Linked DNA regions of Alligator mississippiensis. The protein of the gene in region 2 interacts with the protein of the main gene of each other region in a pairwise test. Links are inferred from orthologs where the notes say so. Each region holds a gene or a part of one and is shown on either strand. Other genes may lie near its edges.

What was found.
Region 1: the proteins of TRAF3IP1 (region 2) and CCNA2 interact in a two-hybrid assay, tested with the Homo sapiens proteins (2 studies listed by BioGRID and IntAct). The link is inferred for Alligator mississippiensis from reciprocal best matches to the Homo sapiens genes TRAF3IP1 and CCNA2.

Annotation. Positions count from the first base shown.
Region 1 is NC_081825.1:114,576,206-114,585,852, forward strand, and holds the start of CCNA2 (cyclin-A2), read right to left. Parts: upstream 4,583-9,647; 5' UTR 4,488-4,582; coding exon 4,359-4,487; intron 4,275-4,358; coding exon 4,052-4,274; intron 1,978-4,051; coding exon 1,865-1,977; intron 1,459-1,864; coding exon 1,235-1,458; intron 654-1,234; coding exon 449-653; intron 1-448. UniProt on the Homo sapiens protein: Cyclin which controls both the G1/S and the G2/M transition phases of the cell cycle. Functions through the formation of specific serine/threonine protein kinase holoenzyme complexes with the cyclin-dependent protein kinases CDK1 or CDK2.
Region 2 is NC_081827.1:183,386,806-183,397,125, reverse strand, and holds the start of TRAF3IP1 (TRAF3-interacting protein 1), read left to right. Parts: upstream 1-5,734; 5' UTR 5,735-5,735; coding exon 5,736-5,942; intron 5,943-7,191; coding exon 7,192-7,260; intron 7,261-10,320.

The DNA.
Region 1 (9,647 bases), on a different chromosome or scaffold from region 2:
CCAACTCTAGGTTGGCACATATGCCTAGAATGAAGCTCCCATGAGGCTCCCCAGTGGCATTGACCCAATTTTGCCTAGCGTCCACACGTCAGCCAACGATGGCTCTCTGAAGTAGTTACCAGTTTTAGTATGGTTTGGGACAGTGGCATAAAGCTGTAAGAGTTAACTGTCACCCTACTAATAGTTAGTTACCAAGGGTTTTTACTAGCAAATGCTTCAGAGATACAAAATGCCAACTGCCCCCTCTGGAGATCTAACAAGGATGCAAACTTGATGTTTTAGACCTCCATATTTTCTGGTCGTTAGAACTCTTAAGAATGGGTAAATATTTGTCACCAAGTGGCATTCCTTCCTTTTCCATGGGAAAAGAAACGCCCCAACCTACTCTGAAGTACTAAGATGGAGCTTTCTGACTGCACATTGGGCTTAATGCCAGATTCACACTTACCATCGATAAACTTTCAACTTTAGCATTTGCCTGCTGGTGCAGAAAGTACTGAGTAAGGAACTGATTTATTGTTGGAGCTGCCAAGTCAAATGACAAGACTTTCAAAATTAAGTGCTCCATCCTTAATACTTGCTTCTTAGTATAGGTGTCATCTGTGATATAGACGAATTCTGCAACTTCTGGAGGGTAAATTTCTTCAAACTTTCTATGATTAGGAAGTATAAGCAACTTGTTACATACACTTAGAAAGAGGAACAGGTCTATCAACTAGTAGTTCTCTCCCTCCCACCCTAGTCCAACATAAGTTAGCAAGATAGGGAGCAACTGTTTCCTCAGAGCTCAGCTCTACTTATATAACCTATTCCTAGTACATGACTAACTTAGTATAAGTAAGTAGTTAACATTAAGTCCACACATTAAGTTCCTGTAGGTCTAAGAATCTTGGCAAACCCATAAAAATTCCAGTATGAATATGATTTCTGTTTCCTTCCACATTTTTGTAGACTATAGGGCCCAAGACTGTTCCAGAATAATACCTGGAATGTTCTAGCTACACAAGCTCTGCGGACCAGGTCAGAAGCCAGGTGCATTAGATACTAATAAATGAAAAAATCTGAGTAAATATGAAGTCATTTTCCAAAAGATTTAAAAACTTGAACATAGATATCTTAAGGCTTCTGGTCAAACAGAGTTTTGAAAGGACACAGCTTTAAGATAATCTTTCCCTTCCCCTATATGTCTCTCACACAGCCTCATTCTAAGAGCAATGATGTCAAATTAACTTACGATGCTAGCAGCATAGCTGCAGTACCCACAAGCTGAAGCTTTCCTCTCAGAACAGACATTGAAGAAAGAAATCTATCAATGTAATTTACAGCTAAATGCAGGGTTTCATTCTGTAGTTTATATTCTTCTCCTACTTCCACCAGCCAGTCCACAAGAATAGCTCTCATATTGTTTGTTATATCAGGCTGTTTCTTCATATAGTTAGATTTAGGCTTGCATTTCACCTGTTAAGGGAATTGTTAGTATATGTGAGATATTAGCACTGACCCTGGCTGAGAAGTTACCTGACCAAAAGTGCAACAAAGATGGGAGAATTTAAAAACCACCCTCCACTAACATACAAATTAAATACTTGTACTATACGTAAAGTAGAATCCAAATACTGGTGCCCAAGGTCCTTCAGAGTCCATTCTCAAGCCCTTTCTTTTATGTTCAGTGCATATTCCAGCCAGGTTTTTTTATTCTAGAAGGGCTCAACAGGAAGCTCACTTTTCTTCCCCTTTCCCCTCAGTCTGTTCTCCAATTATAAGCTCCTACTTGAGCTGCCACCCCTCCAGGGACTAGACCCACAAGCCTCACCATCCTGAGCTAAGCTGCCTTAAAAGTTTAAACAAAATCATGGCATCTTACCTCCATTTCCCTAATGTATTTATGGATATCATCAATGTAGTCTGGCACATGATTAACATTTACTCTTTCTTCCACATCTTGGATTATAGATATATCCATAATACTTGGAGAATCTAAGTGCAAGACAGTAGTCACATTAAACCTACAGAAGTTCTCAGACCGCATGGTACAGTGACTGCATTGAGCAGAACGATTATGTTGGTGACCCAGGACCTAGGGTTTTTTTTGTTTTTGGCATTTTGCCTTTTTTGAGCCACCTAGGCTGCACTAAGAACAGAGAAATGTTGCAAAGGGCTTTTTCAACTATGGGCTTTGTTGCAAAGGGCTTTTTCATCTATGGGGTGGGAGAAAGAAAAATTGGTGGAAGACGCTTCATACTAGCATAGTAAGCTATCTTCATAGGAGTATGGACCTGTACTCTGAAGTGGAGCCTGCAAGTCAGGGGACAGCCTGATGTTAGCATGTATTTTAGCTGAAGCCACAAAATTAGGCAACTGAGAAGTCTTCTGCCAGAATTTTTTAATTGGGCAGACTGTTGGACTTCTCTTGCCTTATGTTATTTTAGTGTCTACCTGAGCTACCCTAGTTTTCTAGTCAACTTGCCAGAACCATTTAGTACTTGCACAAATGGAAGTTTCCAGTGTGTATTCTAGTTTTTGCAACTTGCACTAGGTCTTTAAAGCCTTTCAGAGTTTGAAGCTCTGAGCTGCTACAGCCAGACCCTGACAAGGCTGAGAGTTCAAGAGGGCCAGCAGCTCATAAGTAACAGTAGCAAGAAGAGTGAGGAAATTCATGGGAAAGCAGATGGGTAAGGCACAGGGAAGGGATATCTGGCTGTTTCAGGGATTCAAAGCTTGTAAGTTACAGGCTAAAGGAACTGCTGGACTCAGGGAATCCCCAAAGCTGGTCTGAGTCGCATGCAGATGCACAAGCAACATTTTCATAAGTTAGCTTTTCATAAGACACCAATGAAGAACAATGACTTTAGGGACACTTGGAATATCAGTTAAAAAGAGGATATTTAGGTTGTAGAATAGTGCTCACCCATGGAGGACAGCCAAAGCAGACAATTTGCTGCAGGATCTGGGACAGAAGTTCGAAATCCTGCTCTATCCTAAACTGATTAAATCTAATACAGCATCTATCCAGATCTATCTTAGACCAAGTCCCCCCCAGTTTGAAACCGGTTTGCACATGCTAAACTTCTATTACAGCTTTACACCGTTTTCTGATCATTTGTACCAGTTTATGTGCAGTGTCTGTACCTCGCCTTATACGCCAAATAAGATTTTTAGGGGGCAGGGGAAAGGAAGCAGGGAAAAGAGAAAGTGAAAGCAAGCTTTTGTGAACCCAAGTTCATGTCATCAAATGCTGTCGTAGGGTGCTTCAGAGGGATGGTCCTGCTTGGAGCAAAGGACTGGACCAAAGGACGTGGTGAAGCTCCTTCTAGCCCTAGTTCCCTGTAGGCACCTACACAAGTGTAGAGGCTGCTCCGATGTGCTGGAACCGACTCAATTAATAGAGTCTGCTGGAATACAGCAACAGCTGTGCTCTAGCAGCCTCCTGCATCTTGTACATCAGTGTCCCTGCACTTAAAAGTGCTTTAAATTCAAGTGCTCCTGCTGCCATTTTTAAGTGCAGGGACACCGATACATGAAAGTTTGTGGTGCTTTAGTTAGAGCAGCTCTCAGAGCCACAAAGTGCAGCTCCCCCAACACATGTAGAAGAGCCCCAAGATCCTAATCTTTGTCAAGGATGGTTTGAGGGGGTTTAGCCATGGTAGCCTGAAGTCAGGGCCGACCTGCACCTGCACAGCCTGAGAGCGAGAACAGGAGTGCAAGCAGGAGGATGTGAGCAAGCCAGAGCACAAGCTTTTGTGAACCCGAGTTTGCTTCCCCAGATGCCGTCCTAGGACCGTGGAGAGAGGGACAGTCCTGCCCAAAGCAGGGGGCTACAAGTCTGGGCTGGAGCAAATGCAGTTCCTGCCCCCTCCCGTCCTGGGTGGGCACCCCCTAATCTGACCTGCGCCTGGGGGGGGGGGGGCGATAGGGGGCGCCAGCCAGAGCCAGATTTCCACAAGTCAGGTCCCCTTCCCTCGGGGGCAGAACAGCTCCCCCCGCCCCCAGCACCTGCTTGGGGGGGGGAGAGGAGGAGGTGCCGCCCGGGCCGGCCCCGCCCCGCACTCACCGCAGCTGAGGTCCATGGCGGTGTCGAGCGGCACCAGCGGCTTCCTGTCGGTGGGGAGCCCCGCGACGGGCAGTGCGGGCCCGGCGCGCTTGGCGGCCCCCACCCGGCCGCGCCGCCCCCCGTCCGGCTCGTCCACGTGCACGGCGAAGGGCTGCGGCGCGCGGACCGCCCGGGCCCCGCCATCGCCCTTGCGCGACGGGCCCGCCGCCGCCGCCGCGACCGCCTGCGGGGGGCAACGCACGTTAGCGCCGGCGGGCCGTCACCACCGCCCCCCCGCGGCCCCCCCGCCCCGTGGCGCCCCCCTTGCCTGCGGGCGCGGGCGGTTCTCGCGCAGCACCCCCAGCACCGTGCGGCTGCGGGGCACGGCGGGCGGCAGCGCCTTGCCCACGGGGGGCACGTTCTCCTGCTCCTGCTCCGGGTCCAGCTCGTCCAACATCCTGCCGCAGGTGGGGGGCGCAAGGGGCGCCGTGCGGCCTCGTCCGGAGCGTACCCGGCCGCCTCCCGCTCCGCCGCCGCGTTCAAGGAGCCCGCGACTCTTGAATCCGCCAATGAGGGACGGGGGGCGGGGCTGGCCGGGCGCCGGCCGTGACTGGGGGCGACGGAAGCCGCCGAGGATCAAGCGCGCCCTAGGAGTGAGCGGGTCCTGCTAGAGCGGCGCCGTAGCCCCACCCATGGCGGCTGCGTAGTGCCGGGGCTCTGCCCCCAGGCACCTGAGTCACTAGCCGCGCGAGGCCTCGGCGTTTGAGTCCCGGCTCTGGAGCGCGCAGCGGTGCGGGCTTGCTCTTTGCTTGCCCCGGCCCTGCGAGGCTCCCTCTTAGGGCCGGAGACGCGGTGTTGCCGGTGTAGGAGAATTACTGCATTTGTACCATAACTTCACCCCTTCTACCACTACCCCGTAGGATAATGCTTGAGGCGGCTAATTAATGTAGCATATGCAAAACCAGGAACTTTTAACTGGCTTCTAGCGGTTTGGTGTTTGTTTTTTGGGGGGGGGGAGGTTCATGGTCCAGGTCTAATTAGCCAGATCAGTTCTGAAGCCTTTAAATCATTCAAAAACTGTATGTCCGTGTCTTTTTTTGGGGGGGAGACAATGTTTCATGTTCCAAGCCAAATCAATTCCAAATCTGAGTCAGTCCAGAATCAGAAATCGCCCCCCTACGGGCAAACATCCTCCACCCGCACCTGGGGCTTCAGATGTTTCCAAAACCTTTGGAGGGCATCCTACTTGCCAGCCCAAGCCCAGAGGCTTGGGGTTCAGATGCCCCCAAGTTTCACTTGCTGTCAGCCATAAGGCCCCCCCAGCAAGCAAGGGAGGAGACTCCTATTTCCATAAACTGGGCTTAAAGCCACTGCAACCACGCCAGAAGGGCAGTTCTCTTGTGTAGCAGTTCAGGAAAATGCCTTCATGGACACAGATGCATGGTATTTTCCCTGCCAGGTTAAGCCACTACACTTGATCTAAGCCTTCAAGAGGCCTCTAGGGTTGCTGTCAGCACTTGCTATGACATCTCAAAATAGAGATGCTTCAACTTTGACACAATTCTCACTCACTGGTGACATACTGTGAGCAATATAAAGTAAATAAGACTTACCTGCATATTCATTTGCACATTTTTTCAGTGAATTATAGTTTCTCAATAAATGCAATAATTCTGAGCTTCCAATATGATAATTTCATATTTAAGACCTGGCAATGCTGCTGCAACACCACTTTAGCAGACTGGCCCAGGGCTAGCCGCATGTCACTGATGCATGTGGCCACTCATCCACTAGCACTTTTTTACACCAGGGACCCAGAACTAACCTGAGGCACCTGTTGCTTCCCTCCCCCCTCCAGTGACACATGGCCTTGTTACAAGGGCACAGAGCTTTCAGGCCTCGATTCACTGTAACCCTTCACCCCAGGGAGGGCTACGCCAACATCCTTTCCCAGGTTTCTCCATACTAAGAAATCTCAGACCTTGACTGATAAGGTGAATAGTGTATTTTAGGTCATAAATCATGGGGAATAGGATCTTTAAAAAAGAAACAACCATGTTTGTAAAGATCAGGACACTTTGGGCATTATTGTTTTGAAATCCATAGGGATATTGGAGTATGCTAGAGAGACTATGCGAGAGAAACATTAGATGGTAGGTTAGAGAACCATTAAAAACATTTAATGTTAACCTAGTGCTTGTGTGAAAGGTACAGAGCTAATTGTTTGCAAAGAGAAGTCTTTTTTTAAGGAAATTTTTCACGTCCCAAGTCAAATTACCCAGATCAGATCCAAATTCATTTGAATCGTGCAAGAACCATATGTAGCCCTGCTACCAGCAAGTATCCTCCACCTCATCCGGGGGCTTCAGATGCTTCCAAATCCATTGGCAGCCATCTTACGTGCAGGCCCAAGTCTGGAGCCCTGAGCAATCATACAGCTCTTTCATACAGCAACCAACTTTTAGATGCTAATGACCTTTGTTTGTTGCTGATTAGGGCTGGATCTGGAAAGACTTAGAGCCCAAACTATAGACAAGGGTTTAGAGTCACAAAATGACTTGGATTCTGTCACATCTAGCACTGCTTCTTCCAGTGGGTAGTACAGTTGATTCTTAACCTTTTTAGACTCAAGGCACCCCTCAGAAAAGGCCAGCTCTTAGTATTCACTCACTTATTTTTACTTTGGAAAAACAATTGGACAATCCTTCTGTTGCAGAGGAATCAGAAAGACTGCAACAGATCAGAATTCTTCTAGCACCGTGGACTCCTGTTTGAAATCTCTGAGTTTACGCTGTGAATCGTGTTTGCAGACCTAACAGTGCTAACACCCTTGAAATATCTGAGTACTTAGGAAACATTTTAGCTGCCTCCAGGGCTAGGTGATAGTTGAGCAGGTTTTGACGATCTAAACTTTGGATGTGGGCACTTAATGTTCTTCTGTGGATCTAGCTCAAAACTTCCACTAACTTCAAAATGTCAAGTCCTTTCCCTCCTTTGATGTTTTACCATTCATTCCCAGTGACAGCAACCAGAGTTAAAGCATTACAGATTTGATCCTGGAAGGTGCTGATGACTTTGGCCCACCCAACAAAAGGCTATTCACCCCTAGTGAACAAAGCATTTAGACACACACGTACATTTCACTGCCTTCAAATGAAAACACATACTCAAGTGCTTTGCTCAAAACAGATGAACTTTAAGTATGTGCATTAAGGCTACAATTCAGCAAAGCATGTAACTATTTTTCAAGATCAGAGTTTGGGTGTTTCACACCTCGAAGGATCATGTTCTTCTGCTTTGTCTGAAGACTGAAGGGATATACCATTATAGGCAACAGGCTATTGCCAATTCCATTATTACCCGCTCCACCAACTGGCTAGCTTCTTTTGCGGGGAGGGGAGTGCACAATAATTTTAGTTCGTATTTCTGTGCCTCTTTATTTAATCATCACCATAATTCACTGCAAGAAAAAAGGATCTATTTTCTGCTAGATCAAAAGCCAACTACTCTACAGACACACGTAAGCTGGGCTTCCTTGTCCAACACAATTTAGATTATATAAAGATCAAACACAACGCATTTTTTCTGTGAAGATGAAGAAATAACAGCATAGTTCAGAGCCCTGCAAATTATACTGTCAAACCTAAGTGTTAAGATGAATCATACTGGATGGTAGATCTTACGGGAAAATACAAATGCAGCGAGCTGCAGTGTTGGAAACTGTAGATCAGGTCAGCCCATCCTTTCAGCAGCTGGGGCCTGAACACTGTGGGCTGCACTAGAGGCCACATCAACAATGCTGCTACTGCATAGCGCTCCAATACCTCGTCCCCATGCATCCTCCTCCACTGCTGCACTGGGTGCATGCCCCCTCCCCCACACCACTGCAGGATCAGCACTCTTGACAGCAGTGAGCCCAAAGCACTGATGGATAGCTTCTGATGCCTTCCAGCTGAGCAGCCCAGCTTAATTGTCATTAAAGACTCGATATCAACTACCAGGGTTTTCCCTTGAGATCTCTTGTTTTGTGAGAACATAACTGGACTCTTCCATCTTGGGGGTGAGTTTCAATGCAGGCACAACTATTCTGTTTGTAGAAGTCTTGCAAGATAATCAGTTAATCATTTTCTATTTGGCTCTTGAACTATTCCTTTTCCCAGAATGTAGAGCACAAGGATAAACAGTGAACAAAACAAAAGTAAAAGATCCTAGCATTTTGGCATCTGAAAAATACTAAGGTTGAATTCATCTTTTTTAGAACTGACTGGGTTTTACTAAGTATATTACAGAAGAGTAAAGGGTGTAGGTTGTAGCCGTGTTGGTCGAAGGACATAGGCAGACAAGGTTCCTTGGGTGAATCTGATATCTTTTATTAGACCAACACAAATAGTTGGAGAATAGTTATTAAGCAAGCTTTCGGGTTCAAAAACCCTTCGTCAGGCTAAGGAAGCTTCAGCAGTTGGTGTGTGCTCTTTCTGGATGGAATGAAAAGTAAAGAAGCCAGGGGCTGGGCTGGTATGCATACAAGACGGGTAGTCAGTGAAAATGTAGACTGAGGAGTCAATGGGTGAGAGACAGGCGGGGGGCGGGAAGAGAAGGGGGATGAATAGTGGAGAGATACCTGGGGAGTCAGATGTCAGGCAGGTTATAATGTGTCATAAATCCAATGTCTGTATTTAGTCCGTGATTTTTAGTATCCAGGAAGATACTTTTCATTCCATCCAGGAAGAGCACACACCAGCTCCTGAAACTTCCTTAGCCTGAAGAAGGGTTTTTGAACCTGAAAGCTTGCTTAATAACTATTCTCCAACTATTTGGGTTGGTCTAATAAAAGATATCAGATTCACCCAAGGAACCTTGTCTACAGAAGAGTAAAGACATTTTAAACACTATACAACACCCCAAATGCCTTGGCAGGGATATTTCCCCTTCAAATTTATTCTAGTTATCAGAAAATGTCACCAACTAAACAACTGGAAATAGTTTATCTGTTTGTTTTTTTAAATCCCAAAATCAATTCAAAATTAAAGAACTGTGAAACATGTTTTTGTTTTCTCATCATTTGGTACAACTGCCAGGACACTATATAATCGTTTACTGCTTTGTTACACTCAATCAACTGAACTCCATTCCTACCAAGCTTTGTGCTTGTACTAATAGGATTTATGAACACAAGCTGGGAACAGCCAGGGCCTTGCTTTTGTTTCAGTGGGCATTTCATAAAAACAGCAGAGAAGATTGTAAAGAAAAATGTGACAAACAAAGTATTGTGACATGGACAATCAGGAAGGTGTTGAGGCTCTATTTTTTTCTCTTCTAGCTGAGGGGCAGCCTGACTGTGCAGTTGAGTAGTTAAAACACTCACCAGCAAGGGAAGAGGTTTCATCTGTTGCTCAAACTGGACCGCACCTGAGAGAATACTGGCATTTTACTTTTCTGCCTTCCGTGACCAGTGATGTTTAAGCCACACCATATCAAAAGCCAGTGTAGGAGAGTACTTTGACTTGCCTGAAGAGTGGGTTTGAGGAAAAGTTGCTTCCTCTGGGTCTAGCACACTTCACAGCACCAGTAACATTAGCATCATATTTTCAAGTTTTTCTTTGCAAACATGAGGATG
Region 2 (10,320 bases):
ACCCAAACTCTTGCTGAGTGCAGCTGGGGGAAAACAAAGCCCTTGTGGACTTGAAAGTCCTAGGGAAACTTCTCTTAACCATATCACACACAAGAAATAACCCAGTATTGGAGCAGTGTGAAGTCCCACGTGGATCTCAAAGCAGATGAAGATGAGTAACTTCTTCTGGTATAGATTCATAGATGCTAGGGTCGGAAGGGACCTCAATAGATCATCGAGTCCGACCCCCTGCATAGGCAGGAAAGAGTGCTGGATCTAGATGACCCCAGCTAGATGCTTATCTAACCTCCTCTTGAAGACCCCCAGGGTAGGGGAGAGCACCACCTCCCTTGGGAGCCCGTTCCAGACCTTGGCCACTTGAACTGTGAAGAAGTTCTTCCTAATGTCTAATCTTAATCTGCTCTCTGCTAGCTTGTGGCCATTATTTCTTGTAACCCCCGGGGCGCCTTGGTGAATAAAACCTCACCAGTTCCCTTCTGTGCCCCCGTGATGAACTTACAGGCAGCCACAAGGTCGCCTCTCAACCTTCTCTTGCGGAGGCTGAAGAGGTCCAGGTGCCCCAGTCTCTCCTCATAGAGCTTGGCCTGCAAGCCCTTAACCATACGAGTGGCCCTTCTTGGACCCTCTCCAGGTTATCCACATCCCTCTTGAAGTGTGGCGCCCAAAACTGCACGCAGTATTCCAACTGCGGTCTGACCAGAGCCCGATAGAGGGGAAGTATCACCTCCTTGGATCTGTTCGTCATGCATCTGCTGCTGTACGATGAAGTGCCATTAGCTTTTCTGATGGCTTCGTCACACTGCCAACTCATGCTCATCTTGGAGTCCACTAGGACTCCAAGATCCCTTTTTGCTTCCGTTCCACCAAGCAGGTCATTCCCTAGGCTGTAGGTGTGCTGGACATTTCTCCTCCCTAGGTGCAGCACTTTGCATTTCTCCTTGTTGAATTGCATTCTGTTGTTTTCTGCCCACATGTCCAACTGCTTGTAGTTGTTCTCTGCCCTCCGGTGTGTCCACTTCTCCCCACAGTTTTGTGTCATCCGCAAACTTGGACCGAGTACACTTCACTCCCTCGTCTAAGTCACTGATGAAGATATTGAAGAGTATCGGTCCAAGGACCGAGCCCTGCGGGACCCCACTGCCCACACCCTTCCAGGTCGATACCAACCCATCCACTACGACTCTCTGGGTGCGACCCTCTAGCCAATTGCCACCCACCGGACTGTGTAGTCATCCAAGTCACAGCCTCTTAACTTGTTTACCAGTATGGTGTGGGATACCATATCAAAGGCCTTCCTGAAGTCTAAGTATACAACATCAACCCCTAGGATCCTAGACTTTGCCTAGGATGGTATAGATGGATGCATTTTATCTGGCCTTTGAATTACTCATTTTAAATAATTTAAATTATCCCTATAGCTGTAGGGGTTTAGGTTGTGGCCGTGTTGGTCTAAGGACATAGGCAGACAAGGTTCCTTGGGTGAATTTGATATCTTTTATTAGACCAACCTATATGGTTGGAGAATAGTTATTAAGCAAGCTTTCGGGTTCAAAAACCCTTCGTCAGGCTAAGGAAGCTTCAGCAGTTGGTGTGTGCTCTTCCTGGATGGAATGAAAAGTTTTCATTCCTCCCTATAGCTGCATTCACTCATAAATATGTTTAATAATTCACTCACAAATAGATGGTTAACAAACCAGGCTATCTTTTTGCCTCATGTTTTACCCAATATCGGGAGTGTCAAACATGTGGCCCACAGGCCAAGTCCAGCCTGTACAGCCAGGATATTTGGTCTCTGTGGCTCCTGGGAATTCAGGGATGGGGTGAGCAGGGGCTTTGGATCCCTGTTTGGGGTGTGCGTTAGTTGTGAGGGATAAGTGAGATCTGTGTTAACCCCTGCAGCTCTACCACTTCACCCACTCTTCACCCCAGCTCTGAGATGTATAACAACTGGAACCATATCTCTATCCTTATCAGCGTGATTTAAGCAGCCATTACTGGATTCCCTTATTGCCTCCACTCTTAACTCTCTCTCTTCAAACCCTCATGGTTGCAACCCTCACCCTAACTCAGTGGCCTTAGGCAGCTTCAACATAACTGTTGTCCAGAGAGCCCTACTGCCCCCAGAGATGGTGCCAAGCACTTAAATAGTGACTAGAGAAAGCTCCTGGGAAAGTCTAGGCAGACTGACTGCACAGCTCTTCACCTAAAGCTATTCCCTGTTACAGTTGCAGCAGGTAAGCACAACCTTGAGTGGGAAGGCACTTTATTGAAGAAATATACACTGTAGCAACACTTTGCATCAGCAGGAAACCACAATCTCTCCTTGCACTCTCCTTTTCTGGAGTGCAAAAGCCATGGAAAGAGGTCTTCCTATTCAGCCATGGGATACCTGCCTAGATTGTTCTCCAGTCCAGAGCTGGATTCTGCTGAGGTTACAGAGGGGACTGCGGCCTGGTAACCCTGCCAGGAGTTGGGCTTCCTGTCAGAGTGTTGAATGTTGCCCATTCCCCTTCTGTGGGCAGGCAGGGACTGTGACCACTGCTGTAGCAGCCAGCCTGGATTGTGGAGTATGTGCACCAAGTTCGTGGACTTCTGCTGGAGCTGTATACTGGTGCCCAGGCTTATCCCCTCTGCCTCCTGCCTTCCTATGCCTGTGGTACCCACATTTTAAAACAGCTGTTCTGATCCTGTGGGCTCTGACTATTGCCCTCCTTTGCTGTCCATATGGAATGGGTGTAGTCCAGGAGTGTCACTCATCCAGCCTTCTGGGCTGATCTACAGGGCCAAAAGAATGGTGTGTGGCTGGCCCTGTGGGCCATATCAGGCCCACAGACTTGCCCTTTACTCCCCTAGACTAGACCCAGTGCACATCTTGCTCCAGCCAGTCCAGGACTGGGGGAAAGTGTGTGTGGGGTGGGGGGGGATCATGTCTGGGTGTAACAATAAAACTCCTGCATGGTGTTGTATAGGAACTGAGCTGGTGAGGAGGTCACTCTGGTTAAAGCTGAGCATGCAACCACAAATTTTCTCAAAGCATAAACAGTGTCAATGACAGTGGGGAAAAGTATGTGTAGAATGAGAGGATGTGTGATAAGCAAGGTACGCAGGTATGGGTGTATAAATAATCTGTAAATAGCCAGTAGTAATAGTAGTAATAATAGCTATAAAAATAATGAATATGCAAGTAACAAAAGGTATAAAAACAGTTTGGGAACAAAGGGTCATTGGACACAGTGGCGACAAGTAGGGGGTGCACAGGGGTGCATGTGCACCCCCTGACAGCGCTGGTGTACACCCTGACAGCCACCATTTCCCGCTTAGGCAATGAGCTGGGGGGGCAGGCAAGAGCTCTGGTGCTCCCCCCCCGAGAGCACTGACCAGAGAGTGAGGGCGCCAGGAGAAGCAATCCCTGCAGTTCCCCCCTACCCCCCAGGGGTCGACGCGCCACTTCTGGGTTGGCGCGATTGGCCACAGGGGGACCCCCCCCCCTCGGTCGCTGACTGGCCACTGGGGGGGCAAGTGCCCCCCTAACTCAGGAGGCACCAATCGACCATGACTGGACAACTGCACTGCACTCAGTGGCAGGTGGAGGGGGATGAACTGGTGCATTGCACTCCCTTCCTCCCTGTTTGTTTCCTGGTCCATCCAAAGTTTAAAACCAATTGCCTGGCAGTGGCAGCAGCAGCAGCATTTCTAGTCAGGCAGCAGTGAGGAAGTCACTTGACTTTATGGCTCATTATAATCTACCAGAGTCCTTCTAAATTCTTCATTCAACAAGTGTTAATGGCTCTTCCTTCTTTTTAATGGTCTTGATGGTCCACCAAGCAAGCTAGCTTTTGTTATGCAATTTGCTGCTCCTGGTAACAAAACTCCTATTTCACAGCCCCCCAAACTGTTTTTAACTCATTCCAATGAAGACTTCTTTGTTGCGTCTCCAATCCAACCTGGTCTGTTCCCAGTATTCTGCACAGGTCGCTGCTTCTGGTGTTGGTGTTGCCAGACCTTATAGGGTACATTGTGGTGCCACAGGGCATCTCAGCAGATGATCCGCTGTTTGCTTCTCCTGAGAAACATGTTGGTTGCATAGAGGTCCCATGATTTCATGAGAGAGTTGCATCTTGCGAGACCCACTCTCAATCTGTTCAGGCTCCGCCATGTGTGCCATTTGTAGTTGGAGCCGGATGCCAACTCCTCACTACAGAGAGTTCCTTGCTGGTTCCGGTGAAGTTATATTATTCGAATGAAGTAATATTTGTTCTTGCTTCAGTCAAATGGAATAATACAGCCTTGAGCCCCTCGCATGTTAGTAAAGGTTCTAGCTTATTTTTAACTGGAGAAAAATCAGTGTTGTTTTATACACAATGAATCGATGCACCTCAGCATCTGCACTCCCTCCCCTCCTGGCCTTTCAAAATCCTATGTCCATGAGACCCTGTTTTCTCATGGGGACAGATAGCAAGACTTGCTTAAGATAGTTTTAAGGTAACTAGCGCATTTCTTGGGGTCAGAGCGTGCGCTGTCTGCCGAGGAAAGCTCCAGGAGTGGTGTGGAAACGTCTCCAGCCTTCTCTTCCCCCAACAACCCCAACTGAGTTTGGGGTGAGAGAGCAGGCTGGGAGATGTGGTGTGTGCTATGTGGGTGCCTGCTGTGGCAAATGTCCCTCTGTGGGCAGAGAGTGGCCTGGCATGTGCCACATGTGGGTTAAGGCCAGACTCAGGGGTAGCACCCAGGGGCCCTATCATGGCCACCTCTGGCCCAGCCTGAGGTGCCTCCAAGAGACTGCCCCCAAGATACTGCTCAGGGGCAGTCTCTGGGTAGCCTGGGTGAGCTGTGGCCACTGTTGCGAGTCTTAAATATGAAGTTATCATGTTGGAAGCTCAAAATGATTGCATTTGCTGGAAAACAATTGACAAATATGCAAATAAGTATGCAATTAAGTTGTGTTTTCCTTGACTTTAAATTGCTCACTCTAAGTCCCAGTGAGTGAGTGAGAATTGGGTCATGAAAGTGGGGGCTGTTCTTTATTTCCAGGTAAGGAGTCACCCCAAAGTGCGGCCTCGTGAAGGCTCAGATCAAGCGTAGTGGCTTCTGACCCTGGCAGGGGAAATACCATGTATCTGTGTCCAAGAAGGCAGCTTTCCTGAACCACCTGGCAGAGAGCTGCTCTTCTGGCGTGGCTCGGTACCCACTGAGGTGCAGCGGGTTTAAGCCGTTTATGGACATAGGAGTCCCCTCCCTTGTTTGCTCTGACGGCCGTATGGCTAAGGACAAGCAAAACTTGGGGGCATCCGAACCCCAAACCACTGGGCTTGGGCCTGCAAGTAGGATGCCCACCAAAGGTTTTGGAAACACCTGAAGCCCCAGGTGCGGGTGGAGGATGTTTGCCAGTAGTATGGCCACTTATGGTTCTGGACTCTTGGATTTGGAATTAGTTTTGTCTAATTTGACCTCGGATACAAATTAAATTAAAACAAAACAAAGAAGCCCCTGAGTGTTGCTTAAGACTCGTAACTTGGGTTTTGCGTCCAATTGCATCAAGTGGGTGCCTCAAAAATTATCATATATTTTGGACGCTTTTTTTATTATTAACCTTACCAGGGCTGACATCATTGCACAGACACACCCCTCGCGCACGCAGACGCCGGGGCGGCCGTTGCTAGGGCCGCGGTGCGGGTAGCAACGGCGGAATGCGGAGCCGCGCGTGCGCAGCGAGGGGGCGGGACCTGGCGCGGTGCATGCCGGGAGGCTCGGAGCCGGCGGGGCGGGCGCTGTGGGCCGCGATGAACGCGGCGGTGGTGCGGCGCACACAGGAGTCCCTAGGCCGGGTCATCCGCAAGCCGCCCCTCACCGACCGGCTGCTCTGCAAGCCGCCCTTTCGCTACCTCCACGACGTCATCGGCGAGGTGGGCCTCTTCGCCCCGTCTTCGCGTCCCCGTTGCCAGGTGCCGCGGGGGGCGGGGCCACGGGGGTGCTCGGGGCGGGCCCCGCCCCCTGCGGGTCTGGGGCCCTGCAAGGGCCTGGGCCTGGGGGCTTCCCCCTTGCCGCCAGCCTGGCAGCCAGCTCGGAGTGCGGCTCGGGGCGGGCAGCAGAGCAGGAGAACAGCAGAGGATGGGCCTGGGAGGTGCGGGGCAACTCTGTGGCTCCCCCCCACCACTGCTCTGAAGCCTGGTACTGCCCGTGGGAGACTCAGTTCCTCACTGGAGAGTAGGGTCCTCCACCAGCTTGTTCTGTGGCCCCCATCCCATCCCTTCACCTGCCGGTTTCCACCCCATAAACTGTTACAGGGGAGGTCCCATTCAGCCCCATCCTCCCCCCCCCCCCCCCCCAACCTCCGTGCTGCCTGATAATGGTGCACCAGCGCTGACCTGGAAGTGCAGAGCCCCTTCACTGAAGGAGATGTTAGATATTCGCATTAGTTCTTTTTTTCTGTTCCCACCTGAAAAGGAAAGAAAAAAAGAGACTTGGTAAAACCCTCTGTTAGAAACAAGGCAGGTACCAATAGGTGTGGCAGCAGCAGGAGGAATCAGGACTGGGTTGAAAACACCCAGGCCTGTGGGTCAAAGTCATGAGTTCCTGTGAACAAGTGAATGCAGGAATTTTCCAGACTAAAGTGAGTGAGATGTTAAGCACCTGGGGAAATGTGTCCGAATTTATTCTTCAGAGAATGTCATGCTGCCCTAAAATTAAATGAATACAAAATACTGACCGACACCTTTCAATGAATATGTTGACGTGAGCGAATGACTGACTTCCCTCCAAATAGAATAATAGAAAATGAGGGTTGGAAAGGACCTCAGGAGGTCATCAAATCCAACCCCCTGCTCGAAGCAGGAGCATCCTCAACTAGATCATCCCAGGCACGGCTTTATCTAGCTTGGTCTTGAAAACCTGCAAGGATGAAGATTTCATCACCTCTCTGGGTAGCCTGTTCCAGTGCTTTATTACCCTCCTTGTAAGAAAGTTTTTCCTGATATCCAACCTAAACTTCCCTTACTACAACTTGAGAATGTTGCTTCTTGTCCTGTCATCTGCCAGCACCGAGCACAGTCTAGCTCTATCCTCTTTCCAACTCTGCTTCAGGTAGTGAGTCAAGCTAACAGATTTGCCTGCTGGAACCTTATACAAGAAAATAGTGTTTTTGCTGAGGTTTTCTAGCTGTTCTCAGTAATTTACCTTTCCTTTGTTTTGAAGGTAATTAGAGTGACAGGTTTCATGAAGGGGCTATACACAGACTTTGAGATGAAATCTGATAATGTTAAGGTGGGTATGAAATTTCCTTATTTCATTATACCCAGCATGGGCAGTTACTCCTGTGTTGTCATACCCAGTTTCATGTAACAAACCTATCTTTCTTTTACAGTTAATGTTTTGGGGGAATAGCCTCAAATGTAGCTTTTCTGAATATATGAGATGGTGTCTTGTGGCAGGACCTAAATTCCCCGATTGTGGACAAGAGACCTATGGTGCTACATGCTGTAGAGATACAAAATGATTTTTCATTTCTGCACTGAGCATACTGGAAGTTAAAGATACAACACCATTAAAAATAATAACTTAAAAACTATGACTTCTGCTTTTTAGGTTCTTTTTTGCCCATTATACATCCACAGACAACTTTCCTCTAAGACTGTATTTTCTAGGGCTAAGGAGGGGATTGTTATGTTTTGTTTTACGTGCCCCAATGGTTTGTCTCTGTTTTTGTTGATATTTTAATGCGTATACAATAACTAAGGATGATTCAAAAAATAAGTATAAGTGTTTTGAGTTGCATAACAACATACGTTGTATGAAAGAATGGCAAATCCTTTTTATGTTTACAGCAATGTGATCTTGCGGGGGGTTGTACAGTGAAGTGTATTATCTGAGTGTGTGCTCTTTTCTGTTCTGAGAGGTCAATTTTACTACAGCTTGAAAAGACAAACAAAAATTGTATCAGCTCTTTACTTTCACTGTTGTAACTAGCACTGCTCTCTGCAGTGAATTAATGATATTTCCAGAGATGCATATACAATGCACAAAGTGCTTTATTCTACCCATATTATGAGATGTGCTTTTTCAGTTTGTCTCCACATGCAAGTGGGGAAGTTGTGCCTACTGACAGATTTTCTGTCTATGGAGAGTAGTTATTTTTGTGCCATTTCCCTTTAAGGCGAAGTCTTCCATAGGTAATTGAACTCTTGGGCAGATGGTACCCATGTAAGGACCAGTGATGCAATATGGCCACCCTACTCATGCTGTTCCAATGATTGCTTTAGTCTTTGTTCACATTTGAGCTGTACTGCATCCTTGAAGTTGTATTGATCTCTGGAGAGGAACCATCTCACTGTTCCCTCATCCCTAAAATAGTGGGTTTCTGAAGTCCTTGAAGGGAAGTGGGCAAGATGAATGAATCGCCATCATTACAAACCTAACACTTATAATAGGCTTTTTTGGCAAACAGCTACTTGCCTGATATGCATGATGGATGGTTAACCCTTGATACCCATTTCAAGTGCTGTAAGTGCTGTGCAGCAGTGTCAGTTGTATGGCTCAGCAGCAGATCAGGCTTGGTAGACAAGAGCACTGGCATTGTTTCACAGCTGTTTGTTTTATAGTTTCAAGGCTTCTGTTAGCAGTGGAGAAACAGACTGGCAGTTGGTTGATTGAATCATCTGACTTTGAGAATGGCAAGGACATTGGTCTGTAACCTGATTGGTATATTTAATGCAGCTTAAGCAGTGCCTTCAATATTGAGATCAGTGGGAGAGGGCAAATGACCTGGGCAGATCACATGATTTAAATCACTGCCTAGTTAGTCAGACATGACTTAAATGGCTTTGTCTGTACTCAGAGAACTTCTGTGCTTTGAATTCCTAGCTTTTTGTTTCAAAACAGAGAACAGGATAAAGATTCAGCTGTTGCTCTATTCCTAGTTAAGAGTTCCTGCGGGAGCTTTAAATTGTGATACGCTGAAGGACAGTGAAAAGTGTTCCAACAGCATCTGCAGGGAATAGCAAGTTGAACTTCATATTGAATGACATGCATGCTTCCTCCTGGAGTGGCTAACTTCTTGTAGCATATGAGGATGATGCTCATGGGGTTGCTGATGACAGTCATGGGGCTACAGACCTGGGAAGAGCCACAATGATGGCTTAATTTCAAAAAGAGGATGGTTTTTGGTAGGGCTGTGCAAAGCTTTGGGTGTTGATTTGATTCAGAGGAGATTCTGCCTGATTCAGTGGCTGAATCTCTTAATCCAAATTGAATTGGGACCAATTAAAAGGTCCGAATTGATTTGAAGCGCTCTGAATCTTAGGAAAAGATTCAGAGAGCTTCAATGATTCGGGCAGCCCCTGCCTGCTGAAGCAGGGAGCTGGACCTGGAGTCAGAGCTGGTAAGTAGGGGAGGGGGGAGGGAACCATGGTGGGACCCCTGCCAGGCCCCATCTCCTGCCTGCTCCCCCAGCTCTCACTGACCCCTGCCTGCTCCCCCAGTCCCCCCATGGCTGCCCCGCCTGCCCCAGCTCCAGGTGCTTTAAAAAAAAGCCCCACTCACCGTGTGCTGCCAGGTCGGGGGTGGAATTCCCACTGCCCCATGCTGCATGGGGAGCTCTGCACGAGCCCCCTGACCCGCCCTGCTCTCCCAGGCCCCGCCATGGCTGCCCCACTCACCGCAGCTCCAGCCCCTAAAGAAAAGAAAAACCCCAAGAAAAACCCCAGGACTCACTGCTCTTATAGTGGACTTGGGGCTTTGGGGGGCTCATGCAGAGCCCCCCATGTGGCAGGGGCAGTGGGGATTGCCCCCTGCTGGCAGGAATGGTGAGTTTAGGGTTTTTCTAGGTTTTTTTTTTCTTAAAGGGCCAGAGCTGGGGTGGGCAAGGCAGCCATGAGGGGGACTGGAGATTTGGGGGGAGGTTGGGGGGCTCGTGCAGAGCCCCCCATGTAGTGGGGGGCAGCGGGGATTGCGCCCCTGCCCAGCAGCACCCGTTAAGTCAGGGCTTTTTTTTTCAAAGTGACGGGAGCTGGGGCAGGCTGGGAGAGTGGGTGGGGTTTGTGGCCTGGATGATTTGGCTGAATTGATTTGGGACAGTGATTCAAATCACCAGATTGAATCACTGTCCCCCAAATCAGCCGAATCCAAAGTGAATACTAGCCACTTTGCACAGGCCTAGTTCTTGGTATCCTTGTTGTGAGCTAGACTTAACGGTTTAGTACCTCGGAGAGTGAGTTTGCTCACTGCAGGGGAAAAGCATCTCTTTGGAAGCTGGCTGTCCTGTGAATTTACAGATTAATTCAGCAGTAGGATATTGTGGAAACTGATAATTTAACCACGTTGAAAAAG